Linked DNA regions of Oryzias latipes. The protein of the gene in region 1 purifies or fractionates together with the protein of each later gene. This does not show direct contact. Links are inferred from orthologs where the notes say so. Each region holds a gene or a part of one and is shown on either strand. Other genes may lie near its edges.

Region 1 (4,230 bases):
ATATTTCTGGTACTGTTCGTCCAGCCTCCTCAGGACGGTGTCTGCCGTCTCATTGCCTGGCTGCTTCATAAAAAAGTCGACATCCTCCTGTGAACCAGAGTTTAAAGAGAGAATTCTGACAAATTTATTTGACCATTGGCGAAGTCCAAATGTTGGACGTTTATTGATCTTTTAAAAAACAAAAAAAAAAACCCCACAAAAAAGCCATAAAGATCATGGCTTTAAACGTCAGAGTAACATTCTTTATCAATTATTTCTCCATTATTAGAGGTGTTTTTTTCCCTTAAGTTGATTGGAAATTTTTTCAAACACCAATGCAATTTAGGAACTTAACAATAATATATATCTTAAAAAAAGCTTGGGGAGAATTAACACGAAAAACAAAATACAAACTTAAGACGATAACATATACTACGACTTGGGAGGTTTACACATAAAAATATTGAAAAAGTATAGTTTAATAATAATCATAGTAATAGCAATATTAAATGTATTAAACTACTATAAGCTAAATTTGATTTAATAGGCTCCGTGCACGAAAGTAAGGAGTTCTACTTCCGCCGCCTTGAGTGTGAGGCCGACCATTTCCGGCTTGCGACTTCTATAGCAGCGACACGGCAGATTTTGATTGCGAAAGATGGCATATTTCACCCGTTTTCTACAAGGTCTCCCGAAAATCGACGTGAACGACATCTACAGGATTGTCGACCAGTGCATGGTTACATGGGCAAAATATCGTGTCTAAAATATATAGTGTCGAAAATACCGAAAGGAAATGCGTCCCGTTAGACAAACCTGTGCTGTCACATATTTATGCAGCAGCTCGGTAATATACGAGGCGATCTTCCAAACGTGCTTTTATTAAATTTTATGAATATTATGAAGTGCCTGTTCGCTCATCATTTTATATTTAATCCTTGTTGTCAGTGCTTTTTTTGTGGAAGAAGAACAGAACTGAAGAACAACCCAGTGTTAGGATAGGCTAACAACACGGGCTAACAACATTAGCCTTTTGATGGAGACAAAATCCAGGACAAACCATGTGGGAACCGCTGCAATCTGCATCCTGGCTGCACGTAAATGATCAGCCTTTATTTGTCTGGGCACAATTAGAAACACAATTCCATGTGTCGTGATTTTTTTGAACAGTTTCTAAGGACTGAGCGGCATTTCTGCTCTGAAAAGCTCACACACACTGTGTGCTCTGCTCTGTCCTCGCGAGTCCGGCAGCCGCTAACCCAGAGCGGCGGTTCGGCTTGCAGTCCGAATTCTCACACATAACAAAACGCACACGTAACAAAGCACCCTCCCCTCAAACACATTAATAAATCCGGCTGCTCTGCTCAGAGAGGTTCACTCGGTCCACTGGCACCGGAGCCCGAACGCAGAGCTCGGATGCTGGGTCCAGACCTCAGTGGACACGCATCCCCCCCGCATGTCCTTCGTGAGGGGTGAAAGAGAGGGGAGAGCCAGCGGGGCGAGAGCGGAGCGGCGCTTTACGCGAGGCGTCCGCAGAGCCGCTGGTCGGTCCCGCATGAGCTCACTAGCTTTCTCTCAGCGAAACACCGTCTATGCGTGACGTAACCCAGAGCAGCAGTGACACACGATCGGAATGACCGTTTACATGAACAACGATCGGTATATCCAGCTATCTCGATCGGAAAGAAATTTCGATCCGAACGAGTCTGACCGGGGCAAAGTATTCTGATCGGCGTGTTTACATGACGCATTTTCTTTCCGATTGCTGCAAATACGAAACACGACTCGTCTTGCTTGGGGTGAAGTCCTCCCGCCGTGTTCACCATCCATTCGGCTCTCGCCGACACATATACTGGAAAGCTAAGAAAGCTTATATTAGTACTGTTGTACTTTGACAAATTCGAACACGGGTACACAACAATGTTGTGATGTCTTTTTCACGCGTTGAAACAACAAACGCCTTTCTTTTACCCGAAATCCGCTCCTATTTACTCAAAACTAGCAACTCAACAAAACTCCACACAACAATAACACGACCAACAGGAAGTTGTCGGCCTCACACTCGAAACACGGAAGTTAACCGGAAGTTCTATCGTGCACGTAGGCTATTATTGACTTAAGCTTATTGTTTTAAATATTGACTGGTTCTATTTAAACCCCCAACTATCCCTGAATATTACTTTTTTTTTTTTACAAGACTACAAAACAATAAAAAAATCTATATAAAAACTAGTCACTTCTTTCCATTTAATTGCATCGATATCAAAATGCAAACACTTACATTAGCGATTGAAACACAACACAACAAGAATGGTAAATATAAATGAAAAAAGCTCACGACATTTTAGTTATTTCCAATTATTAATCAATTGCTTGTCTAATTATGGACAATACACTTAGTCGAGAAAATGTATGAAACGTATCCGCAGGTAATATAGGGTTCGTGTTTAATATTGTTTGCGAAGAAAGAAAAAGAAAAAAGCAGAAGTTAAAAAAGCCTGCACACGCAGCCCAAAGTTTCCACCCGGCCGGTGATGACCATAAATGGAAGCTGGCAGCCGCCCAGCATGCACACAGAGCGGATAATCTGTTAGCTTCTATATGCTACCAAGCTAGCACGAGGCGCCTAGCCAATAGCTGTGACCAAAAACGTATAACAGGCACCAAATATCGATAGATAAAAAAACTAAACTTTACACACCAAAAACACTGCTTCAGGGATGCCGAGGTGCTTTTTCTTTGTCGCCTGTGAAGCATTGCTGGGATCTATGGTCGCCGCCATGTTGAAGATAGAATCCTCTTTCCTGACATTCAAGCATGCGCACAAGGCGTCTCAGAAAAGGAAGGGGATTTGCTGCCTCCATCGGTCAGAATGGATAGCTGCACTAAACCGCTGCCATGGCTTGACTGTCAGAGAAATAAAAAGTAAAAGACTAACTGCAACATAAAGAACAAACCTTTTAAATTGTTAATACACATTTCAAATCAGCGCAAAATCAGCTCATGATATATAATATATATGATATAAAAATCAACTAAACGTTTCACAAAGTTATGAGACCTAAAACATGACCAAAGAACAGGACAAAAGTCTGCACAAAATCAGTGCTTCATGTTAGTCAAAGGGAAAACAACTTTAGACTTATTTTTCCTCTCTGAAATGTGAAAATATTTTAAAAATATTCCTGAGCATAAAACATATTTGATTAGAAAAGTTTCCACAACTAATGTAATTAATCCATCTTAATCATAATGTTTGGTGATTTATATTAATAATAATAATAATAATGGATTGGATTTATCTGCGCTTTTCAAGTCACTCAAAGCGCTTACATTGTGGCCATTATTCATTCACTCCTCGTTCATACTTGGTGATGGTAAGCTACTGTTGTAGCCACAGCTGCCCTGGGGCAGACTGACAGAGGCGTGGCTGCCAGTTCGCGCCTACGGCCCCTCTGACCATCACCAGGACATTCATGCACATCCACACACCAGTGGAGCCACACTGGAGGCAAGGAGGGTGAAGTGTCTTGCCCAAGGACACAACGACAGTTGGCTGGGGGGAGCAGGGATCGAACCGCCGACCCTTCGATCATTGGACGACCCGCTCAACCACCTGAGCCACAGCCCCTCAGATTGATATCATATTGTCATTGATATCAAATGTGTCACAAAATGGGCAGGTGCCTGGTTCCAATTGCAGCAGGTTTTATTAGCACAGCTAAAAGTTCACAAATCTAAATCAGGGTCAGGCAGGCAGGGGTCGATAACGAGCATGGGGGCATCAGAGAAGAAACTGGAGTAATCAGGATCAACCTTAAAGTCAAATCCACCCCTTAACGTCTCTGCCAATGGGTAATAATTGTTTATAATCTTGAATTGCATTTCTTAAATCTCGGAGTATGGGCCATTTTATGAATTTCCATTGTTGAGCACCCAATAAGACAGGTGCCTCAGTTACCTAATATTTAACTTTACTATTATAGTAATGGCATGATTTACCTTTAAGGGATTTGTTTGTACCTTTATTATCACATTTTTCTTCCGTAAATTTTGTTTCACCTATTACTAAATTTGGTAATTTTACTTGAACACTGGAAAACAACATTTTAGTGTTTATTACATGTACTAAAGCAATTGGAATTGCTTTCTGAAATTCCTTAATTAATTCTGAAATTCCTTAATTGAAAATTCAATATCATATTTGCTTTTGAAATTGCTTAATTGAAGAATGTCTCCTTTCGATTCAAG
Region 2 (4,105 bases), about 850 kb from region 1:
TTCCAAAGCAGGTAGAACTTCTTTCACCGTCCTCTCTACCAAAACCCCTCCAACCAGGCGATAGCATTTCCTAGAAGGGTCCACTTCCTTAAGAGTTTCAATAACTAAACTGAACACAAAAAGAAAAAAACATTAAAATTATTACTCTTTTACCACTTACCAGTTATGTGACGAGGTGAGTTACAAGATGTTTTTCTTTTTTAAGTTTAATGTATATAAAGTAAAAAGGTCAATTTAACTACAGACCAACATGATCCAATTAGCTGTCCTGCTAACAATCAAACATAAAAAGTGAGTATTATAAAAGCTCTCAGAGGAGAAGTCATCAGCTGCTAACCTGTGCTCATTGATGTCCATCTCCAGCTCTGCAGCTTTAGACGCCATGCTGCGTTGTTCCTGACGCATCCTCTGAAAGGTGGCAACCACCTGAAAACATCACCGCAAAGCTGGCATCAATGCAGACCAATGACATTTGACGCATCCGTCTGATCCCAACACAAGCATGTAAGCTGTTTCAGACTGAGGGGCTTTCAGGCTGAATAAACTTACCAAACCTTAAAAGGAAATTGTGACTTTAGAGAGTTTTTTTTTTTACCCAGTCCCTTTTGATCCAGTCCGCTTAATTTGTTCCGGACCGAGTTCCGAACCTTGCGTTAGGCCTTTATCAGACTGGCGTTAAGCGCCCCATTCTGTTAGCGACCAAAGCTTATAAACAAAACAATGTGACTAAAGATCTCTTCAGTCATTGGCCAGGAACTACGAGGGCAGATCAAAACAAGAGAAATGTGGACGTGTGCCGCTTAACAGTTAAATTATTAAAATTTTATATTTTTTTCGATTATCAGTTTTGAACGTCGGGAACAAGCCTTTTTATTTGTTACTTTGGTACGGCAAAGGCATGCTGCGAAGCGGTCAGTGGCAAGGAGACGTGCTGTGTGTGCTTTAACTCAGAGCATGCTAGTAACTGCATTGATGACGAGACGTCGGGTATGAGTAGGCTGCCACGCTCTCTCCTCTCTGAGGGGCAACCGCATGGTTGCGATAAAGAGCCCTGGAGTTTGGCCTGAATAGAGCCGTCACCACAAATATTAATCAAATCGGTGACTTCGCTTCCCTTCCACTGACTGGTCTCAGCAGCATCGTCCGCCATTGGTTGATGTTTATGTTCTTGTTCCCGCCTACTTCAACGAAAAATGATGATGTTTGCAGCGTATCAATGACGTACGGGTCGGATTCATGTGGCCTGGACGTTCAGACGGAGGTCGCATTTGAAATGATCGGATACATATCGGATTCAGGACCACATACGCAAGTGGCCTGGGTCGCATTTGAAAAGATCGGATCTGTGTCGTTCAGACTGTCATGAAAAGATCAGATACAGGTCGCATAGGGGCAAAAAACAATCAGAATTGTGTCATTTCAGCCTGCAGTGAGATACAATGTGTTTCCCATTAAAAATGATTTTAATTAGCCTGCATTCATCTGACCACATTTCAATGAGTTGCTGTGTCTCATCATTGTGGTTTTAGGGCATTGTTTTTAGAGAATTCTGTTAAGGAAACTATAATATAGCTTTTAGTCATGCCACAGGCGAATGCCGCGTAACAAGATACAGAAAAGCATGCAAGTAGCCTTTTCAGCAATGTTAAAATAAACGTTCTAACAAATAAACACTTGAACTCTTTTTTTCTGTTTGATAACACGATAATAATTGCTTATTTGTCCGCGGCTCATCTGTAGCCACATTCCTACTCTGTTTATGTCAGCTATGGTGGCCATTTAGGTTCAGTGGTATTCAGATTGAGGAATCTTAGAGCGAACCCGAGCTCAATCTGATTGGAAATTAACCAAGACCACCTGCAAAGATGGGTCAAGGTCCCAGACCTTAAAGTGAACTCTGGTTCAATTTAAGCAGACCAAATGCATAACCTTCTCCATGTTAATGATTTCAAATTGTTTTACTTTTTTTATATATAATGTATGTACCATTTTTTTTAGCTTTACTTTCTTTTTTCAATCAAGAGCAATTTATAACTTAGAATATGACTTCCTAATATGACTTAATTCACAGTATTCTTTGAACCTGTATGAAAATATTTAATTTTGACCCCAAAATTTTTTGAAGTTCATATGTATTTTTAATGTTATTTTTCAACAAACATCGAATAAAGATTAATACATTTCAACATTTGCCATTTTTATGCTAATTTGTTCCTATAGTGTGTCTACATGTTATTGTCTATCACTAAGACGTCGCTTTATACTAATAATTTGGCAACGTGTTGAAACAGTTTTTTTCTTATATGAAAGGCTTCCGTAGCCCTTGAGCTGTGCATAGTTGTTGACTGTCTGAGTAGTAAAAATAGCATCATCATGCTCTGTCAGACCCATTCTGAGGGCCACACCACCCACATACAGAATGGTGTACCTTTAGTTTATCTTTGACGTTATCCCATTCCATGATGTGCAAATAGCACAAATTGGACCTAATTTCATGCTCACAATTTCTTTCCCCTCGCATGGGTCTGACTGCAAGACACTTCTGTGGCCACGGGGAAGCTAACGTTAGCGCTGACTGGCTGTACGTCGGTTTAGTTACTTTCTGCTGAATATATACGAATAATATGTCACAATCTCAGGAGTACCGAGACAAAAGACTCCGCTACTCAATAGGATACCTGTTCGGCTGACTGCGCGGGCTGTTTTCCAGCCGCGCTGCTGCTCGATTTGCTGAACGTGCTGCTGTTGGCTGCCATCTTGATAGAGTGCACTTGAAGGACCCGACCCATGTGAAAGTTTTTTTTCACAGGCAGAGGCAGTCTCATGACTGCCTGTGTAAAAATACATCTCTAAATTCCTTTACCACTCACTACACAGTGCACTATACAGTGCGTTCGCAATTTTGTAATGCTGTCCGAATCTACAATTTCAAAATCCAGTTCCTAAGAAATTTCTCGGAAGTCTCTGCAAATTAACCAGTGTGCATCGACGCTCATTAAATTGGCCAACATAGATCAATGACAATGCATTGCGTTTTGAACATTTTTTGCGAAAACAATGTGTTGAAATGCTTTTTTTTAAACAATCAATATTTTTTTTATTTCAAGTACGCAATGAATTAATAAATAGTTGTTGTAAATTGCTTGTATTTACGACGGAGTATGTATTGATCAGATTTTCACTTCGTGAAATCGGTAACGTTATATTTCCCGTTTTAAAAAAAGAAAAAAAATAGTGAGGATGGTGTCCTAATTGCTTTTAAAACCCACGACACTATATCGTTTTTAGTAGTTGGTGATTAGGTTGGAAATTCGGACACAGCACTAAGATCAAATTGATCCTTTTTTTTAAAATGGGAAACAAGTTAAATTTCTATCTGCCCCCCACAACTGTAAGTAAGTAAGTAAGTAAGTAAGTAAGTAAGTAAGTAAGTAAGTAAGTAAGTAAGTAAGTAAGTAAGTAAGTAAGTAAGTAAATAAGTAAATAAGTAAATAAGTAAATAAGTAAATAAGTAAATAAGTAAGTAAGTAAGTAAGTAAGTGGGTAAGTTAGTAAGTAAGTAAGTAAGTAAGTAAAGGCTTATTTGATCAGCTAACAATTGATTTCTACCACGGGGTTTCACTAGATTGTGCATTGGCCAATTAGAAACTAAAATGCATTATTATTATTATTATTTTGCACATGTTTTACCATAAAATCCAAGTAGAGTACACAAGTGTAACATGTAAACATTTTCCCTCGAACAAATCAAAGGATAAAACAGTTTAACTTCTTTTAACAGAATAATCAGCCTGACATGCTACAATGACATAAAATTTAAAGAAAGAAAGGCATTTCTAATTTTAAAAAGTTTCTGCTAATTAGAAATGATCATTTCAAAAGCTTTGGGTAGTCTAACTGTTTTATTTATTTATTTTTTCATTTTCAGCTAAAATGTTCAACTTTTTCCTGTAGAGACCAAATGTATATCACTTCGCTGCATAACAATTTGACCCTATGTGATTGTTGCCACAGTGTGATAGCAAACAGCTTCTGGTATAATATTAACCAACCTTTTCTGTATGTATTTTTAAAAAAAGTCTTTCATTTAAAAATAAAATGAAAT
Region 3 (4,186 bases), on another chromosome or scaffold:
ACACCTGAAGTAACCAAAGCACGTGACCAGTATTATAAAGAGAAGTCTAAGAAAAAATACAATTTTAAAGACAGAAAAAACGCTCAATAATAATCTCCAACAGGATGAATGAGCTGCTGTAAAAACAAAAGACTTGTTTTTACAACACAGTACAGAATATCAAAGCTAATTCTTGTTTTAACTGAAGAAAGAATTACCTATAGAAAATAACAGGCAAAATACTTGTACAACATAGATATGTAAATAAATAAACAAGAACCTAAAATAGTGTGACACAATCCTCCTTTTGATTAATGCTAAAGTCATTTTTGACAGATTTAAGATACAAACTGCTTTACGATTTCAGTGTCCGACGTTAAAAGATGAAATACAAATGACACTAGGGCTGCACGATATGAGGAAAACTCGCGATATGCGATATTGGTGATTAATATTGCGATAACGATATAATTTGCGGTATATAAACAAATGTCAAACCAACCAAAAACATAATTTCCATTTCAATGCAACAGTATAAAAATCATACTCCAAATGACCCTTGTCGACGTAGGAGGCAAACATCAAACATAAAAGGGCTCATTTGATTGATCAACAGCGTAAACGGGTCCTTCCGATTGGTTAAATGCATAAAGGGATTTATTTCATTTGTTCAATATTTCAAGCTGCCATGAGTTTGTTTTAGCACACTTAACCCTTGTGCTATCTTAGATGACCCCCCCCTTACATTGACGTGTTCTCCCTACCATGACAAAGGTGGACAAAGGTGGAAAGATTTCATGTAATCCATGGACACCAGTGAAGATCACAAATTATTGAAGAAAAATTGTTCAGTGCACTGTCTAGTGGGTCTAGATGACCCAACTCCCAATGTTAAAGTGCCTAGGATAGCACAAGGGTTAAGGTAACCATTTATTGCGATTTTCGCCGTCTTTTGCGGTATGCATATTGCACAGCTTGATGTCGCGATAACGATAAATTTGCGGTATATTGTGCAGGCCTAAATGACATAATGAGACGATAAAAGCTAATAAATAGGTTAATGTCAGAATATTTATTCACAATTACTATTCATTTGTTTAAAATAAATGATAGTTTGTATTAATTGAACAAACAATTTAACAACTACAAACATAATGATATGAAATATAATATTATGGGGAAAAAACCTGTCCAAAAGTATCTCAGATGCATGGACAGCAAATATAAAACTATTTTAACTTTAAGAACATGTAAATATTATATGACATAATTAATTTAAGGCCCCAAACGGACAGCTGTGGGATCCCATTTATTTCTTTTTTGAAGGTACAACCAGCCAAGGTCAACTTTTATTTCTGCACAACCCTTTTTTCATCAGCCACTTTTCATCTTCCATTAATTTAAAAGAAACTATGAGTACAGTCTTTATTATATATTAATGTAAAAAAAAACACAAGCATATCTGTGACATGCATCTGTTTTCCCCAGCATAAAGTGTGTCACAGTAATGAAAAAAAGAAATATTTCTATTGAATGAAGCAACATAATACCTGATATAATCACTTAGCAACACTGTTAATTTAATTTTAAAGCAAAAGCTGTATTCATTTTTTTAATATATTATTTTATTTCCCCCAAAATTTGACTAATTACTCATCTGGGGCACATTGGACCCCATTTATAATGTAAAGATATAAGATAGTTTTCTGTCTGCTAAAATGTCTATATGTTTAAATACTACAATTATGGGTTTCAGGTCAAAAATTAAGCCTTCACCTTTCAACTGTCAGTCTTAGGATATAAGATTGTATCAGTAGAAATTGAATATTAAAAGGTTCAAGGTATGGCGTAAATTTAAGGCAAATTATGTGATTCTATATTCTATAAAGACAGCTTAAATCAGGTGTTCTCGTCGTGCATTTTGTTTCTCTATTTATTCAAGGTAGAACTCAGAATTTGTGGTCAAAATTTTACCATGGCGACGAAATATGTTCAAGTCTATCCTGAATTTTCAGAACTACCCATAAAAACTAGATTTCCAGCTTCTGTGGCTGATATTTCATTACAAATAAATGACTATAAACGTCTCTGCTTATAGTAAGTGCTATATATTATAAACTAAAGCTTGAAAATATCATTTTAACTAGGGCATCCCATACATTTTCTTTTGTATTTCTTTTCCTTACATTTCTCCATTGATGTACTCCAGTCTTTTTGTGACCGTGGCCTTGGCTTCATCCAAGTCTTGCTTCACTAAAACTGGACCGATAAGCTTGTAAATGGTGTTAGAACTGTCCAGCAGATCGAGCTCCTGGAAATATACAGGTCACATCTTCAGTCAAACTGAACATAAAGATATCTAATGGACAAAAACATGTTGTTAAGGGTTAGGCGTGTACCTCTTTGACTATGTTGTTTTCTGTCAGCTGCGTCTCCAGTTTCTGCCTGACGGACATACTTTTACTCACATCTGAAAAAAAAACAGACATTTGTAAGTTGTATTTCTTTTAATACGTCAAATCTCAAAGTTACTTTAAATATTTGAAACATGGGTGCAGGCATGGCTAACTAACTGCTGCCCGATGGTAACAACATCATGGCACACTAGCAGCTAACAGGTACCTACCTTTCTGCACCTGCGAATATTTTTCTAATTCCGCTTTTAATTTCTTTTGAATTGCATCTGCCATGTTTTATGACTTGTTTGTAATAACCGTGTAAACGTTAAATAAATGTATCTAGAGGTTTCAGAGCTAACAACACAGAATGGGAGAACTGCGCTAGCTAACCGGAAGGAGCGACGGATTTAGCGGAAGTTGTGAAAGATTCACTGCCATCCAGAAAATCGGAGTTTCCGCAGTCGTACAAGAGAAGAGTTTTATCAAATATTTTCTATTTCTGTCCAATGTATATCATATTAGATGAAGAAATTGCATGAAATTTGAAAAATATCTTATTTGATTAGGATTTTTTTGACTTAGTAGTTATACACACAAGTTATTACATTATTCTCATAGTCGAACAATAGAAGATAATAGATATTTTAAACTTTGAATTGCACACATAACATTTAAAAATAAAATTAATTGCTGCCACATCTCATTCAAAAAGGTATGGATAAATCTTGGTCCACCAGCTCTGATCAGTCTAAGGGGATCTCCAACATGGAAAGAGTTGATGTCCTCTCTGTATTAAATCATAATAAATCATGTAAGGGGCTAATACCTGGCATCAAGCCACTGACCTTCAAAAATCACAAGAGAAATGAAAATTGGTTTTAAAAAAAAAGTGAGACGGCAGTTGCCCAATAAAGTGGTGGACACTCAGGGACTGTGACCCTAAAACTGGGAGAAAGATTTAAGATCAACTTTATTAATCCACTTTCAAGATCAACTTTATTAATCCACGAAGGGAAATTTGAGAAAAGCGATTCTTCAACAATAGTTTTGCCTTGGTTTGCTTTACATCAATAAACAATAGAACCTTGGAAGGTTTAGTAAGTCAGATAAGTAAGTTGAGGAATAAATGTTTGTATGGACCCTTTGTGTGCGTGTGTGTGTGTTTGTTTGAACAACTTGTTCACCTCTCGGCAGATCCCGTCATTTGTCACCACAGTGGTATTTTGATTGGAAATAAATTGTAGTATTTGTAGTATCATTGTTTTAATGAAAAATCTAAAATGCAAAAGTGGTAAGTAGTAGTAGTAGTAGTTGCTGTAATGGTAGTACATTTGTATGGGTTTTTTTTTTTATTAAAAATCTAAAATACATAGCAGTTGCAGAACTAGCATCATTATTATTTGAACAAAAACCTAAAATAAACAGTAAGCCTGTGGTAGTAGTAGTAGTAGTAGTAGTAGTAGTAGTAGTAGTAGTAGTAGTAGTAGTGGTCATGGAAGTAGTATCGTTTTGATGATTCAAAATCTAAAATACTTAGTAGTCGTATCATCATGTTTTGAACGAATTTCTAAAATACACAACGAACGCTGTTACTGATGGGAAGATTTTGGTTTTAATTATGCAATGAAAAAAAATTAGACAACCACACATCACAGAAAATCAACAAAAACGTTTTAAAGACTTTCTTTTACTTATTTATTTATTTTACAGAAAATGCAACTAAGAAAACTGCCACGAATGTACAGAAAAACTGTGTAAATTTAGGAATTAATACAAATATTTTCCGTCGTGTTTTATTCCGTCAGCGG
Region 4 (4,006 bases), on another chromosome or scaffold:
CATGGTCCTCACAGACCTTTAGGAGACACTTCACACCAACACAGAGGGGTGGGAGGGGCTTTATTGGGATCACGTGGCACAGAAAAAAAACGGATTACGGAGCTCTTCTGGACAGCAGCATCTCTCTGATGTTGTCTTCAGCCTCCTTCACGCTGCGCTCCAAGTACACCTTCTTCTGCTGCAAGAGACCACAAACGGGCAGCAACAGTCAGAAACCCGCAAACATGCACTGCGAGCTGTGATGGAGCAGGCACTCGCACCTCAAGCTCCTTGATCTTCTCGTCCACGGTTTTCTGTTTGTCTGTCAGCAGGTTGTTGATCTTCTCCCTGGACTGAAGAATGAACCTGAAACAACAGTTTTCTGTCATCTATAGGATCGGCAGGGCAGATGAACCTAAAGGCAGCATTCAGACATTAACGTTTCTTTATACCATGGTCCGGGTGAATACTCGATTCTGATTGGCTGCTGGGTGTGCATTAAAGTGATAATCCACGGTGATAATGTACGCCTAAAAAAGAAGTTCCGGGCACATAGCTTAACTGTTCTGTATCACTGCACTGGCTTCTTTAAAACAAACTTCAGCCTCATCATCTGGACTAAAAGAGGTAAACTTTCTCTCTGAACTGATGCTTTATTTAACCCGTGGTGACGATCAGCATATATATTGCTTTCCTTTGCCGCAGCAGTCGAGGTCAGTGGGGCTAAGCAGCGCGTTATGTTACCGTGACACGTAACAAATAGTCGACTTTTTGTGAAGAGAAAAAAAAGAGATTGGAACCATAAAAATGTTAGAATGAAAGGCCTAAAAACTGGTTATATATTTATTTCTTTTGTAAGTAATCATGGTAGCAGCGGATTAACGGCTGTCAAAGTGGGCACAATCAGAAATTAATGCACTTTATGGAAGCAACTGCGGAGGACGGTTGCTTCCACAAAGTGCATTCATTCATTCATTTTCTTCCGTTTGTTCCCTTTCGGAGTCACGGGGCTGCCGGAGCCTATCCCGGCCACTTATGGGTGAAGGCAGAGGACACCCTGGACAGGTCGCCAGTCTGCCGCAGGGTCACAGTCACACACCCATTCACACTCACATTCACACCTATGGACAATTTAGAGTTGCCAATTAACCTATGGAGCATCTTTTTGGACGGTGGGAGGAAGCTGGAGACCCCGGAGAAAACCCATGCATGCACGAGGAGAACATGCAAACTCAATGCAGAAAGGTCCCCCATTGATGTTCTGTTTCAGGTCCCCCAGCCGGGACTTGAACCAGTGGCCTTCTTGCTCCGAGGCAAGAGTGCTATCAGCATTAACGCATAAAGTGCATTAATGCTGATAAAGCACACTTTGTTGGCCATTAACCCTTATGTAGCTCAGTGTTTGTGCAGATCAGTTGCTAAACGCACATCCTCTTCAAACTTGTGTATAAAAGTGTTGACTGGATGTGAAGTTCATAAAGTCAATCAGGTCAGACAGAATTCCTCTGTCTGGAACTCTCATGGAGCCTCAGTAGCATCAATGAGGCCAATCAAAACCTCTCCAAAAAGAAATTTATGTGAATCTGGTGGAGATCTCCTTAAAATAAATGTAAAGTTTTCAAAATAAGAGGCACATGGTTTCACAACTGCAGTAGAACCGTGTGACACTGAGATTTCCAAAGCAGAACCAGACATTTGATGGAAAAACCAGACTGGTTTCATGTTTTTCAGATGTGTCTAACTCATCTGTGTTCTTTGGTGAGTTGGCATTGATTACAGGAGAGCACACTTACATTCGGCCGACGCCCTCGTACAGGCGCGTGTTTTCCGGCAGCGAGGAGATCTCTGTGCTTGTGAGCTTGGCATGTTTCTGAACTCGAGTCAGCTGATCAATCTGGAGGTCGGCCAGCTTCACCTTCTGCTGTGTGTCAATCATCTTCAGCTGTAGCTCGGCGAATGCCTGCAGAGACAGGAAGTATCGCTCTGTTCAAAGTCGAAAAGGAAACCAGGAGAGAATCAGAGTTTCACTATTTCTCCCATCTCTTCCTTTTCTCTGGCTTGATTCAGGAAGTCAAACAGAAAAATGAAACACTGCCTCTCCTGTAAATCAGTTAACAAGCAAAGCGATCTGCTACATGAAGGTAGTCTATGAAGATATAAACCTGGACCATTTAAATGTTTGCATAAAGGAGGTAAAAAAAAAAAACGACATCTGACCTAAAATAATCCACGACACTGAAAGATGGAAAACTGGACTTTAACATTTACAAGCATGTTTGTCATAATCTGGTTTCCTCAAACCCCATCATCTTTTGTCTCAGTGTTAATACCGCAAAGGATTGTGGGATTGGAATATGGTCCACCCGATCAGAAAGGATGCTCGGCCGTTTCAAAGAGATGGGGGGGGGGGGGCAACCTCAAAACTCATTTTGCTCTAAGGGGTTCAAAGATTCGGTGCAGGTACACAATGGTCCGGTTCACATGTTTGTTACTAGTGAAGTGACCGGTCAGCCGAATTTCGTGAACCTTCCGCGTGCACCACTGAATGCGGTATGGGTCACACTAATAACTACCAGCGGTAGCTGCCTGTAACCCAATATCGGAGAGTATGCGCAACCACGTGCGTCAGACATATGATGTGTTCGGCGTCCTGTAAACTACACACCTTTTTTAGTTCCAGGTCCACGGGCGCCGCCATCTTTAGAGTAGATTTCGAGTGCGCATGCGCAAGATTGTCTTCTTCGGGCTTATTTTGTGGCAGCATCAAGTTTGCCCACAGCCCCTCCCAGTAACGATGATCTATTTAAACTCCCCGTGACCTTTTTTTTAAAAAAAATAAAAACGTTCCCAGTGGTGTTTTAGTTACAATTACGACGTTTTTTTTAACTAAAATTCCACAAGCCAAATGTCTTTAAAATGTCATGTTTATCTGAAGCGTGTTTCCAAGAACTCCTCTACATGGGCGTGGCTATTGGTGCTGATTAGCTCCGCCCTCGATTCCCCCTATCTGCAAGCTGCGTCTTGCCTGAGTGAAGACCGATAGACAGTCCCAGAAATTGTAAAAATTGTTGAATACACTTGCATAGCACTATTCACACGTCATTTTCCAAATACTTGTGGCCAGTGCAAAACTTAATTCTTGAACACCCGGACCCAGAGGAAAGGTTAAGTTTAGTGTTATGGTTACATTTAAGGTGCGTTCACACTGAACGAGATTCGTGGCAGAGGTGGCCAGTTAAGGCCCGTACACACCGGGACGAATTTCGCGCGCGATATTCGCCGATGTTTAACGCCTCATGACTAAACAAAGGGCACCAATGTGAGTGTGCACACCGACGTGAAAAAACGCCACGCTTCAAAGCGTCACTTTATAAAAAATGCCTCGGGTTCGTTTTTTTGGTTTGGCGCCACGCGGCAAAAACTATACGACTAATGAGAATGGGGCTTTTGGACACGTGTCTGGAGCTTCTGAAGTTACAGTAAAACACAACTTGGGGGCGCTCAAACACAAAACTGCCTTTCTGAGCACACATACCAGCGAAGAAGATAAGACGCCAAGTGGAATCTACACTGCCGCAAAGAAATAATGACGGACATTCTAAAATATCCCCGAAAACGCTCATGATACATTTTTAGCTCTCGTACCAGTCGATAAAACTCCCCATGTTCTTCTCTTCTCGTAACTATGGGATGTACCCAAAATCTGCGTCTTTTCCAGCGTCTTTCATCGTTTGCTGTGGTGTCATCGGTATAAAGGTATTGTACTGCAAATAATGATCCTGTGTTAATAAAACTTTGACTTGCTTTACGGCAGTTATCAGTCTTTACTCGGTGCAACACATCATTCAACAGAACAATAATTTCTTCATTGCTGGAACTGGAGCTACTGGTGCTGGAAATATTCATGTTTTCTTTGTTTGATTCTGACAAGCGCGTAAATACTTGCTCTCTTCTTCTGAGTGAAAAGCGACTTTAAGAAGCGTAAAGTTGCGCAGCGCCACCTTGTGTACAGGGGTATTTCTGTTTT
Region 5 (4,111 bases), on another chromosome or scaffold:
AATACTAGGTCATTAATCTGCATGTTTCAATATTGAATAAATATTAAGCAAAAATAGAAAGTTCAAATATTTGTCACAAACACACAGTATGACATGCAGCCAAATGCTTCGTGTAACTGATATGCAAACTAGAACAAGTATGGGCCCCTATACTTGACCCACAGACTGCATGGCAGTTGTTCAACCTGCAGATGTAATTGACTAAATTAAAAACCAGATTATTGTACGTTTCCATGGTCTCTTATCGTAATTTTAATCTTCTTTCTCTTTTGGCTTTTCCCATCAGGGGTCGCCACAGCGAATCATCCTTTTCCACCTCACTCTATCATGAACATCTTCTACCCTAACGTTAGCCAACTTCATGTCCTCTGTTAAGACATCCATGTATCTCCTCTTTGGCCGTCCTCTTGCCCTCCGGCCAGGCAGCTCCATCTCCAACATCCTTCTACCAATATATCCACTATCCCTCCTCTGAACATGTCCAAACCATCTCAGTCTGGCTTCTCTGACTTTGTCGCTAACACAGGCAACATGAGCCGTCCCTCTGATGTACTCGTTCCTTATCCTGTCTAACCTGGTCACTCCTAAGGAGAACCTCAACATCTTCATCTCCGCTACCTCCATCTCAGCCTCTTGTCTCTGTCTCACTGCTACCGTCTCTAACCCATAGAGCAGAGCTGGTCTCACCACTGTCTTGTACACCTTTCCTTTGAGTCTTGCTGGCACTCTTCTGTCACACAACACTCCTGACACTTTCCTCCAACTGCTCCAACCTGCCTGCACTCGCCTCTTCACCTCTTTTCCACACTCCCCATCACACTGAACTGTTGACCCCAAGTACTTAAACTCCTGCACCTTCTTCACCTCAGCCCTCTGTAACCTAACGCTTCTACCTTGATCCCTCTCATTCAGACACATGTATTCTGTCTTACTACGACTGACCTTCATGCTTATCGTAATTTTAATATTCTGCAGAAAAAAACCCATTCAATTTCAATCAAAGAAACTGTTATGCAGAGTCTGCGTTAGAAAATAGTCATATAAACTAGAGCTAGTCAACATATTTAAAAAGGAAGTTTTCTTCTTTCCTTTTATTTATTTATTTTTTGCATTTCATTTTAAATCATATTTACTTTGAAACAGCTTTCATGTTCTAATAAACCGGAAAATATGTCAACCGGAAGTACATCTCGCAACCGGAAGAAGAATCCGTCTTTTGTCACCACGCTTCCAACATGGCGGTGAATCTCACAGACCTCTCTCTGCCGCAGTTAGAAGGACTCAAAGGCCAGCTGGACCAGGTAAAATGCGTGAGTTTAGACTGAATATGTGACCGCTGCTTCTTCATGAAGGCGTCTACGCTAAAGGCGGGAATGAGAGCAGCGCAGCGGCCGCGGAGGGTCATGATGTTTCCCCGCAGGGGCGTGGAGTTTCAGGTGCTGCTCGGTTGTAAAGAAGGGTTTTTGAGTTGACAGAGAAAAAACCGACAATAGTTTATTTTACAATTTGTCCTTAGACTTTATAGGATTTAATTGATACATAGACAGGATGGGTAGCGACCTTCAAGAGTTAAGAGAAATGAGTCACAGTTTGAACTTGCCTGGCCTTATCATTATATTATTTACATTTTTTTGTTAAATTTTGAATCAGGCTTATTGTTGTCATTCAACCAATACACCCGCTATGAGTGACAAAGCAGCTGAGTTTTTACAATGCACACATCCGGGGGAAAAAACGTACCTAACGGTACAGAAGTGAACTGAACCGAACCTGCTGTACTGAAACGCTTCGGTTCAACTACGTTTATTCTTACACCCCTAGAACATATAATACCCTTATTGATAAGGCATTCTGGCGTTGGGAATTATTATAAATTCTAATGAATTCAAGAAATGCAACAGAATCTATCCTGGTGAAGTAGTCACAGGTGTGCAGTTTAGTGTAGTTTACCTCTATGTGGCAGATGTCAGTGCTAAACATCTACAAAATTAATCAAATAACAACATCACTCACTGAAGTAAATTGTTGTAGCATTTCAGGATATGACTATGTTAATGAAAAACTACCTAAATTATTGAACACAATCGTGCTGGAAAGAAAAATTGCACAAAAGCACGACTGAAACCGTTACCAAAAAGCCTGTGTGCGATCATTTCCAGCTGAGCGCCGTCCAGACCGCGCTTGGTGGCCGAAAGAAACTGCCAGCTCAACATTTCTGCAAACTGTGGCCACGGGGCAGCAGGAGTGTTGGCATAACTTGGTCATTTCCAGGATCTGCTTTTGCAACCTCAGTTTCTCAGCTTTACTATCAGTTTTGTTTCACAATGCAACAAAACATCACACTTATGCGTCAATAAAAAACTGGAAACATTCGTTTTCTAAAACTAGTGAATGGTGGTGTATCTGAGTACATAGATGGAACTCCTCTGGGGTGTTTCTTTTAATTTTTTTTAATTGCTTTTTTGAAATTCATGCTGTGTTTTTTTTCCCAGGAAGTTGAATTCTTGACTTCTTCAATTGGCCAGTTCAAAGTTGTGCAGACCAAGTATGTTGAAGCAAAAGACAGTTTAAATGTACTGACCGAAAACAACAAAGGTATGTAAAATGTCCCTTACTGGTAATTTGTTTGATCATTAATGTTTTAAAAAATGTTTTATAGTTTTACTTCTAACTTTGCTTAGGATGGCACCTCTTTTAACCGTCACACCACGTGCGCATAGATCAGTGTTTTCACACCTTTTTTGAGCCACGGCACACTTTAACCTTGACAAAAATCCTGTGGCACACCAGCATCCAAAAATAAAAATAAAACTCCTAGTCTGTTTTGATCTACAGCCCCTCTGCAATCTCACATGCATTGTTGTGATCATTGTGGCAGAAAAAGCTGGAAGCTGCAGCTGGTTTTCTAAAAGATGTAATAAAAGTTAAGTTAGAAGATTTAAAAACTGTTTGGTGTGTGTTCGTTGTGGTTTCAAGACGTCAAAGGAAGACTCATTGTACACTGATACGCTGCCACTTTAACCCAATGCATCATGGGAGATGTAGTGTCAACAGCCGGCAAACGCCAGACAGACTGGCGTCTTGGAGCTTCATGGTTTTGTTCCCTTGTTCCACGGTCTGACACCGGATTCTGTGGAAAGCTACACCGCTAAAGACGAGCTTTAGCTGGTATTTTTGTTGGAACTGAGAGACTTTATGAGCAGAAATGGAACAAGGAAGTGAAGACTTTAACCACTTCTGATTGGTCAGACTGATGACGTATGATTAAGACTCCAAGAATGATTGGCGGAGACAGTTAAAGGGGCGGGACTTTTCAGAAAACAGTTAATACTGCAGCTAAATCACGGTACCGTCATTCTTATTTAAAAGTCTTTAATATAATCAAATAAACACAAAGAAAAAAGTATTTTACGACACCTTTTGCTTTGATTCCTGCTTTGCACACTCTTGGCATTCTCTTGATGAGCTTCAAGGTGACAGTGATGTTACGGAGCGAAATAACAAGAATAAACAAATACGTATCGTACACACATCCTAAATCCTAAGCTCCAAGTCGTGTTTTAAGCCCTTGACGTCAAATGTCAAGTCAGTGCATGTGAGGCTGAAGTGTCACTCAAGTCCCAGGTCCAAGTCTCCGACTGTCCTTCAGTCTTGGAGGCTACAGAATGTCTAATATATACAGATGGTTGAATTTAACAACTTTCCCTCTTTCTTCCATACAGGAAAAGAATTACTCGTCCCCCTCACCAGTTCTGTATCCTTTATCCATCTAACTATTTTTAGTCTTTTGTAGTCATTTACAAAGTCTATAGTTGTCATGAAAAGGTTTATTTATATAATAAGTTCCACAAATTAGATAAACTCCAACAAACCGTTTTCATTTGCTGTGCATCTGTAAACAGCTTGTTTCTATTGACCTTAAGCAGAGCTGCTGAACAGATGTACGTCCCCGGCACATTAAACGACGTGGAGCACGTGTTGGTGGATGTGGGAACGGGATATTATGTGGAAAAGGTAAAAGTGGAAGCACTTTGAAACTTGAACTTCATAAACAGTCAGTAGACTGTAAATCTTACTGTTTCTGTTCCCAGAATGTGAAAGATTCAAAAGA

What was found.
Region 2: the proteins of vbp1 (region 1) and pfdn2 fractionate together in Homo sapiens (co-fractionation; 8 studies listed by BioGRID and IntAct, counting the BioPlex papers as one, with this or other methods). This does not show direct contact. The link is inferred for Oryzias latipes from reciprocal best matches to the Homo sapiens genes VBP1 and PFDN2.
Region 3: the proteins of vbp1 (region 1) and pfdn6 purify together in Homo sapiens (affinity purification with mass spectrometry; 6 studies listed by BioGRID and IntAct, counting the BioPlex papers as one, with this or other methods). This does not show direct contact. The link is inferred for Oryzias latipes from reciprocal best matches to the Homo sapiens genes VBP1 and PFDN6.
Region 4: the proteins of vbp1 (region 1) and pfdn1 purify together in Homo sapiens (affinity purification with mass spectrometry; 4 studies listed by BioGRID and IntAct, counting the BioPlex papers as one, with this or other methods). This does not show direct contact. The link is inferred for Oryzias latipes from reciprocal best matches to the Homo sapiens genes VBP1 and PFDN1.
Region 5: the proteins of vbp1 (region 1) and pfdn5 purify together in Homo sapiens (affinity purification with mass spectrometry; 7 studies listed by BioGRID and IntAct, counting the BioPlex papers as one, with this or other methods). This does not show direct contact. The link is inferred for Oryzias latipes from reciprocal best matches to the Homo sapiens genes VBP1 and PFDN5.

What each region holds. Positions count from the first base shown.
Region 1 is NC_019876.2:19,822,544-19,826,773, forward strand, and holds the start of vbp1 (prefoldin subunit 3), read right to left. Parts: upstream 2,808-4,230; 5' UTR 2,762-2,807; coding exon 2,681-2,761; intron 88-2,680; coding exon 1-87. UniProt on the Homo sapiens protein: Binds specifically to cytosolic chaperonin (c-CPN) and transfers target proteins to it. Binds to nascent polypeptide chain and promotes folding in an environment in which there are many competing pathways for nonnative proteins.
Region 2 is NC_019876.2:18,973,787-18,977,891, reverse strand, and holds the start of pfdn2 (prefoldin subunit 2), read right to left. Parts: upstream 2,801-4,105; 5' UTR 2,790-2,800; coding exon 2,679-2,789; intron 427-2,678; coding exon 338-426; intron 110-337; coding exon 1-109. UniProt on the Homo sapiens protein: Binds specifically to cytosolic chaperonin (c-CPN) and transfers target proteins to it. Binds to nascent polypeptide chain and promotes folding in an environment in which there are many competing pathways for nonnative proteins.
Region 3 is NC_019868.2:26,684,870-26,689,055, reverse strand, and holds the start of pfdn6 (prefoldin subunit 6), read right to left. Parts: upstream 2,805-4,186; 5' UTR 2,670-2,804; coding exon 2,606-2,669; intron 2,450-2,605; coding exon 2,379-2,449; intron 2,291-2,378; coding exon 2,166-2,290; intron 1-2,165. UniProt on the Homo sapiens protein: Binds specifically to cytosolic chaperonin (c-CPN) and transfers target proteins to it. Binds to nascent polypeptide chain and promotes folding in an environment in which there are many competing pathways for nonnative proteins.
Region 4 is NC_019872.2:23,090,155-23,094,160, reverse strand, and holds pfdn1 (prefoldin subunit 1), read right to left. Parts: upstream 2,810-4,006; 5' UTR 2,744-2,809; coding exon 2,645-2,743; intron 1,940-2,644; coding exon 1,773-1,939; intron 346-1,772; coding exon 261-345; intron 179-260; coding exon 95-178; 3' UTR 42-94; downstream 1-41. UniProt on the Homo sapiens protein: Binds specifically to cytosolic chaperonin (c-CPN) and transfers target proteins to it. Binds to nascent polypeptide chain and promotes folding in an environment in which there are many competing pathways for nonnative proteins.
Region 5 is NC_019863.2:4,452,386-4,456,496, forward strand, and holds the start of pfdn5 (prefoldin subunit 5), read left to right. Parts: upstream 1-1,301; 5' UTR 1,302-1,346; coding exon 1,347-1,436; intron 1,437-2,492; coding exon 2,493-2,595; intron 2,596-3,722; coding exon 3,723-3,754; intron 3,755-3,939; coding exon 3,940-4,014; intron 4,015-4,091; coding exon 4,092-4,111. UniProt on the Homo sapiens protein: Binds specifically to cytosolic chaperonin (c-CPN) and transfers target proteins to it. Binds to nascent polypeptide chain and promotes folding in an environment in which there are many competing pathways for nonnative proteins.